Alligator mississippiensis: one gene and its partner. The protein of the gene in region 2 interacts with the protein of the main gene of each other region in a pairwise test. Links are inferred from orthologs where the notes say so. Each region holds a gene or a part of one and is shown on either strand. Other genes may lie near its edges.

Region 1 (3,746 bases), on a different chromosome or scaffold from region 2:
TAAAGATGGTATCTTTTATTAGACCAACTAAGTTGCAAAAAAAAAAAAAAAAATCTAGTTGGTCTAATAAAAGATATTGCCTCTAGCACACTGACTGCTTGTTTTTGTACACCAACGCGGCTACAACCTATTGTGCGGGCCGGGAGCGGTCTGAGACCCTTGGGGGCACGCGGTGGGCTGTGGCCAGCAGCCTGGCATGTGGGTCGGGGAATGCAGGCCGGCGGACTAGAATTAGGCAAGGACGTGTAGCGGTTGATTAAAGATTATTTTACTTACACCGTAGATGGTTGCGGTGCAGGCAGGAGAAAACTTCGCTTAAGTTGCAGTTACAAAACTCGTACGAACAAGACCCGTAGACAAACTCGAGCCTCTTGAAATAACTCGGAAAGAGCTCTGGATACACACACGCAAAGTTTTCTAGGCTCCGTGGAACGAGCGCACAGGGAAGGGTACATCGAGGGATTAGGCGGTGACAGGGGGAGGCTAGAGATTGATCAGGCCCCTATATCCTTCTTAAGGCACACGCTGGGTTTGTTAGGCTCTGCAGCGCTTAGAGTTCTTCACAAGATGTGAACTCGTCCTCATCCTCCTCCAGATGGTTGTGAAGTCCTCCAACTTGGGCAGAAACCGCTCAAGCCACGTAGGAATAATTTAGAAACAGCCAATAGTGGGGAACAAATTTGCATGCAGGTGGCAGGAACTCCTTTGCACCGGGGTTTTCTCTTTGCAACTGAGAATTGCACCCTGCAAAGAAAGCTCCTCGTGGCGGGAAATAATTCTGCAGTGCTGAAGCACACACAAAATCATACCCTTGGGTTATGACACCTGTATCCACCAGAGCCTCAATATTTTGCTTTTTTCTGTAGTTGCTTATAGTCTGAGGGGTCTTTTGGCGGAGACTATTTTTCCATAAGCCTTCGTGGCTCATATTTGCTGGGTGACTGGAAAAAAGCAAGTGCTGTCTGGATGGTAGCTCCTCTCCCTTTCTGTGTTTGTGGGGTATGGATCAGAAAATACTTTTTTTTTTTTTTTTAAAACATATAGATAGATACAGCATCTAGGATAAGCTTTTCTTCACACACCTTAAACCATATTTAAAGCCTAGCACCTGTTACAATAAACACACCCACACACAGTCCTTTCCCTAATCCAGTTGCAGTCTCTTAGTCCTAGCCTCAATTTTGCGGTTTACAGTCTCAGTTCATTCACTGTCGTTGTCACTGCTGCTGTTCTATGGATGAGGACAGATGCACAGGCTGCAGAGAAATGAGGGGTAGATACCCCCAGGAGGCGGTAGCTTCCCTTTTAAGATGGCCTGTGCTTGGGTGGGCGGATTGCAGGGTGGGGGTGTCTCACAAGCAGGAGGAGCCAGAGAAGCAGTCCAGTTTTCTGCTTATGTTGTGCTTCAGCTCGAGGAAGAGAAGCTGTGATCAGGCTCTGCAAGAGCAGCAGCTCCATCTCACGCTCTGATTTATCAGGCCACAGCGTCCAGGCAGCTTTGCTTGCAGAAATTTTCAGCCATGGGAGTGGAAGGCTGTACCAAGTGCATCAAATATCTGCTGTTTGTCTTCAATTTTATCTTCTGGGTGAGTGCATTTGCTTGGGGTGCAGTTTTGCATGTGATTTAATGGCTGGGGAAAACGAAAAGGGAGTGGGGGTGGGGGGGGGGTAGAGAAGGAAAGGAAGGTGAATGTTATGTTTCAGCTTGCTCTCTCCTGCTCCTGGCTGGTGTCAGATTGCCACCAAAATAATGCAGCAGGCTCAGAAAGGAGCTGACTTTCCCATCCTCTGCAGGAGAGAGGCACAGAGCTTTCTTCTTTTTCCCTAGCAGCTCTGGGGGATGAGACCTGGGGAGGGAACAGCAGCAACCTTTAAGTGGAGAAGATGGAGGGGGGAGGGAAGATTGGCTCACCCCAAAAATGGGTGTTGCATTGATAACAGAGCCTAGCTTGCTCAGAAAACCAAAGCTGGGAACTATCTCTTCCCATCCCCCTCCCCAAAACCACTGCTACAATAATTGATTACAATAATTGAGTCAATTTGTACCACCCCCCTCTTTCTTTTGAAATGGCAAATGTGTTTGGTTTGCTGCGTGTGCAGATGGTCTTCAAACTTAATAAACCACCTGTGAGCTGCACTGGGAAAAAACAATGCTTGGGAGACAGCCTACTTGTTTGTCTGCTAGGTTGATGGGGCATGCCTCTGTGTTCAGTATACAGGTCTGCAGCCATATAATAATCGAGATTTAAGACACTTGGAAAGGTTTTATTTTTTTTAGCTCTGTGGTATGTGTTTTGGTTTTGTTTGTGCCTCCCCTTGGGTTCTAACTGATTGAAAGTTGAGACTCATTAATTGCCAAAATATATGAAAATGTAATGGAGGCCAGGGCTTTGGAGTTGAAAGTTGATCTTTCCTGGTCTTTCTGTCATGTCAAGAGAAAATGAGAACTGTGTCCTTTAAAGAGAAAATGCCAACTGTGTTCTACGTATACAGGCTTTTATATTCAAGGCCACTTGATTTTTGCCAAACTTTTTTAATACAGGCAGCAAATTTGGATCTGGACAATGCATGTAAATGGCTCGAAGTGATGAGAAATGGAGCTCCTAAAAATATGTTTAACCAGTGGTAGGATTGTTCTGTGTTTTGAAAGATGGGTGGAGTGAGAGATTGCAGCCTCTACATGGGAAGTGACAGTCTGTTGCTGTGGTTGAGGTTGCTATAGCTTGCTGCTTTGGAGATGTCGTTCTTGGAGGCTCTCAGATGTCACCCTTTCCTGCCGTCTGCCTCTTATGTGGAGAACAGTTTTCAGCCTGGAGGGTGGGGGTTAAAACTTGCTTGGTGGCTAAAGTAGGCGGATGATGGTGTCTCAAAAGAATTGGCCACTCCGAGCTACTTCCCACACTCCTCCCACCTATCCCTCCCTCCCTGCCTGGAGAATTTTGCAGGGACCACACCCCACTGCTCAGAAAAAGTCTTTGCCTCATCTGCAGGTTCAAGAGGGGTTTGGGTTTGTTGGGTTTTTAAGTCATATTCTGTAGTCAGTGCAAGTTGGGAAATATTCTTTCCTACTATTTGGAAACAAGCTGTCTTCCCTGTGTCTGTCCAGAAAGGGCATCCCAGAGGGCTCCAGCAATTAGGGGGGAGAATAGTCAATATACACAGCTTTGTTAATTCAGCAATTGGTCACATCCTTGCATTTCTCATGTGCGAACGTTTATAGATATGTAACCAGGATAAGTGTTACTGCCTAACTTATGATGAGCCACCCCCGCTTCTGGGAGAAATAATAGGAATTGGGGGTGGGGGGGAGAATGTCTTTTGTTCAATTTAGCTGTTTATTTTTCATATGTTTTTCCTCCCCCTGAGATTGCTGGGGAAGCTCTTGTAGCTAGCTATCATTACTGAAAAACAGTGGAAGCTGTTGCGGTCTTGTTGTAGGTTGGCAGTTCAGATAACACACAATTCTTGCACCTTTGCCAGAATGAGATAGTTGCTTAATACTTTCTTGACTGTGGCCCCTGGTTTTAGAGTTAATGTTTTCCGAATGTTTATGAACACATGGCTATGTCTGACCCTTCAGTCTACTTTTTAATCTGAGGTCACAGCACATCTGGGTGCTGATCGGACACTGCAGAGTGGCACCATTTGAGAGATGCAGTTTTACATTAGTTAGCAGGGTGATTTAAAAAAAAAACAAACCCAAAAAAATACCCTGTGGATTCCCATTTTCACTGAGTTCTGCAACA
Region 2 (3,746 bases):
ACATCCCTTTCCTCTAAAAATCGACCCTTCTCTGTACCTCCCTCCCCCACAAAAAGTTTTTAAAATAAGTTTTATCATGAACAGGGCATTTCTCACCATCACTTGGCTCACTGTACCGGAGCAGCATAACCAGGTGGCACAGGGGCTAACCATTTCCTCACCCCTTGCCCATCTAGCCTATTGAGAGTAAAAGCACTCCAATGCAAGGACTATTCAATCTACTCTGTGGCTGCACAACACCCAGAGTCACACAGGGTTATTTTCAGCCCCTAAGCAGTATTTTAACTGAACAGGAGTAATGGAAGTGGGGGACATGTGAACTGAATGTCAAGACTAGCTCCCAGCAGCAAGACCTTAAGTGGCTGGACAGTCTGCTGAAGACTATGGTGAAAGCCCCATAGATCTGTACATTTAGACATGGACTAATCTAAAGAAAAAGAATCTCTTCATTGTCCCAAGGAGAGGCCATGTAGGGCCTTTAATGCTCACAATTTGACAGATAAAATACTATTGAAATTACAGCTAAATGGCAGTGAAAGCAAGTAAAAAGGAAAGAAAAAAAAAAATCTCACTTGCTACCCAAGTGTGTGTGTTCAAACCTACCCTGAAGGATGTCAGAACCTAGTAGCTGAATGCCTTTGGCACAGTGGAAAATCCCCACACAACAGAGAGTCCCGCCCAACGATTCCTCATCATTGACTGACCATGCGCATTACTCATTGGCCATGGGCAGCTCTTAACTAAATCCGCTTCATCAGTCATAAGTATCCACCTGCCGTTTTGGGCTACTGGCCATAGCTCCGATAGCCACCCGACCGCCACAAAGGACTCAGGCTGACTTCATTTTACTTCTCTAGCATATACATCCTGACCACAAGCTGTCTTGCCCTCTGACAAACCAAGTTCCCCATGTCTGCAAGCAAATAAAGTAACTTGCTAAGTGTCCTTCTCCATTACCATGTACTGGTGGTAACCAAAACAGCATCCTCAACTTGAAAGGAGTCCAGGTGCTCCAAAAACTGGATTACAGCAGAAGGTCATAAGCCTTTGTATTAAGTGTCAAACATTTAACCATGACATTTTAAAAAGCAGGCAAGACCATCTACCCGGATGGATGACAGGGGGACCATTTTGTGCAGAGATTCCCCTTCTGCTTTGAGAGCAGCTGCACATTTGATTTTGGCAGCTACTGAAATCATATGGACTATCACCCTTCCACAAGTCCTCTCTCCTTATGGTAGTTTTCCAGTTGTCACCACCACCTTCCCATCCCTTGCTGAAGCTCCTAACCTCATCTTTGCTTCCTCTCCTGGCCCTACAGCCTTTCTCCAAATCCTACTGCTTATTCCACAACACTCCTTCACCCCCCCCTCCCCCCGCTTTCCTTGCTGTTCCTACTACCAGCACATCCTCGTTCTGTCATAGAGTCGACAGAATGGCTCTTTCTGGCTTCTCTTATCCTCCCTCCAGAGCCCCTCCAAACATGCAACCCACTTCTCTTCCTTGCCCACTATCCCCTGCGCTCCAGCTTCATCTGCTGCTCTTGCTTCCTATGCCACATCCTATTCAGCTACAGCGCCTCACTGCCAGGGCTGCCACAGCAGAGGGGCAGTGCAGGGGCTGCACCATCACAGTGCCTAGCTCCCCCGGCTGCTCGGAGCTGTTCCAGGAAACCCAGACTGAGGCAATTTCTGTTTCCCCGCTGCCCACAGGCTTCTTAGCAGCTGGGAAACTGAACAGAGCCTCCCTCGCTTCACCTTGCTTGCTGCCAGAAGCAGTGCTAGACAGGTCAGGGCAAGGCAGCACTGAATCAGGTCCTCAGCCACAAAGGCTGGACTTCCCCACTGCGACTTGGAGTGCCACAGGTTTCCACAGGGACCTCCCTGGCTTGCCTGGGAGTTGCCACTTGTCAACAGCCAGGATCACAGAGAAGCAGGGCTGGAAGGCATCTCCAGAGGTCATCCAGTCTAGGCAGGATCAGCCCTCTCCAACCCTATGGCTTGGACAGGGTCTTCACTTGGGCTCAGTCCCCAGCACCTCCCTGTCAGCCCTCAGCTGCAGCACTTGCCCTTGTAGCCTCCAGCCCAGCTCACCTGGCCAAGGCAGTCAAGCCAGGCTCCAGCAGCGGTTCCCCACCTTTTTTTTTTTTTTTTCCAGTTTTGGACTCACCAGGCTGGTGGCCACCCACAGCAAGTGCCAGCTCTCACATCTCCCTCACTCTTGGGTTACAGCAGAGCTGCTCAGCCCCTGGCCTGTGGGGCAACAGCAGCCACAGAGGCAAGGCACCTGGTCTGTGGTGCGGGTTGAGAAATTGGGCAGCGGGGACCATTAATACAGCCCCTCTGCCCCACAGCCAACCTCTGCACGGCTGGAGCAGGGTCAGGCTGCCCCTCGCCCCGCTCCAGGGAGCCACTAGCCAGATCCCACCTGCAGACGGCCTGGGCACTGCCCATTCAGTTGAGCACTGCAGATCCGCCAGCCCAGCACCAGCAGTTGTGTGGATGCCACCCGCTCCCCGGGCACGGCAGGGCAGGGCAAGCACAACCAGGGCTCCCCAAGTGTCACAGGGTACCCCCAGTTGAGGATCCCCGGACCACAGCCCTGGCTGCGGGAGGGGGATGAGCAGCAGAACAAGGTCCCTGCCCCCGCCTGGGTCTCAGGTGTCACCGCGCCACCCGCCGGAGAGACTCCCGCTCACTCACCTGCCTCATAGGACCGGAGCGCGGGGCCAGAGCCGGCTGTTCTGCGCGGGGCGGGGCTGCGGAGTTGGGCTGAACTCGGGCGGCCGCTGCCTTTTGTAGCCAGGCGGGCGGGGGCTGCGGGGGAGCCCGGGCCCGCCCCGCCCGGAGGAGGCTCCGCCGCGGGGCTGCGGGCGGGGCAGAGCTGTGACCTCCCGGCCGGGCTCGCCCCCGCCCCGCCCTCAGGGCTCTTAGAACCTCCCCGACGCTCCAAGATGCCAAAGACCCTTTTGGAAGCGCGGGGTCCGGCCGGGCGCGGGCGCGGGGAGCGCAGGACCGCCCCCCTCAGCCCGGCCACGGCTTTGGCCATCCGCGTCTTCAACACCCCGGGGATGAAGATGCCGCCGCCTCTGGCCCCGCGCCGGCCAGTGCTTCACCACCCCCTGGTGACAGTGCGGCCAGCCTGTGGCCATGGGGCAGGCGTGAGGTGGCCGCGCGGCCCCTCTCTGGCGCCCTGCAGCCCTTCCCCTGGATTACCGACCCACTGCGCCTTGCTCCTATTGAACACTGTATAAGGGAGGCTGCCGGTGGGCTTTGAGTGTGCCTGAGCCCGTGCCGATCAGGGCCGGGCCCCTCAGTCCCTGTCCTGAACCCTCGAGCCAGTGGGCCCCCTTGGCCTGTCCACATCTCTGCCGGGCACCTGTCAACTTAAGGGCTCATTGCGTGGCTCCCTTCCTCCTCTACACTATGCCCCAAGCCAAGCAGGTGTTCTCTCTCTGGTGTTGTTTAGTTATACACTCAGCCCCTTGGGCCTTCAGACCCCCCTGGTCCTGCACGCAGCCCCTCCTCCAGGCTCCGGGACCTCTGGTCTCACATGCAGCCCCTCCTCCAGGGTCAAGGACCCTCTGTAGGTTCAGAATAAAACAATGGCCACCAGCTCCTAGGCCTGCAGGGTTGTTTATATCAACTCCAGTCCCTTCAGCAGCCCTGCTGCCAGGGACAGACTGTCTATTCGGCTCAGGCTGTGGACCTATGCAGCTCCAGCCTGAACCCTCCACTCGGGTGAGT

Evidence for each region. The genes of interacting proteins can lie anywhere in the genome.
Region 1: the proteins of GLP1R (region 2) and CD81 interact in a protein complementation assay, tested with the Homo sapiens proteins (2 studies listed by BioGRID). The link is inferred for Alligator mississippiensis from reciprocal best matches to the Homo sapiens genes GLP1R and CD81.

Annotation. Positions count from the first base shown.
Region 1 is NC_081825.1:188,709,234-188,712,979, forward strand, and holds the start of CD81 (CD81 antigen), read left to right. Parts: upstream 1-1,379; 5' UTR 1,380-1,520; coding exon 1,521-1,586; intron 1,587-3,746. UniProt on the Homo sapiens protein: Structural component of specialized membrane microdomains known as tetraspanin-enriched microdomains (TERMs), which act as platforms for receptor clustering and signaling.
Region 2 is NC_081824.1:171,750,198-171,753,943, reverse strand, and holds the start of GLP1R (glucagon-like peptide 1 receptor), read right to left. Parts: upstream 2,773-3,746; 5' UTR 2,712-2,772; coding exon 2,703-2,711; intron 1-2,702.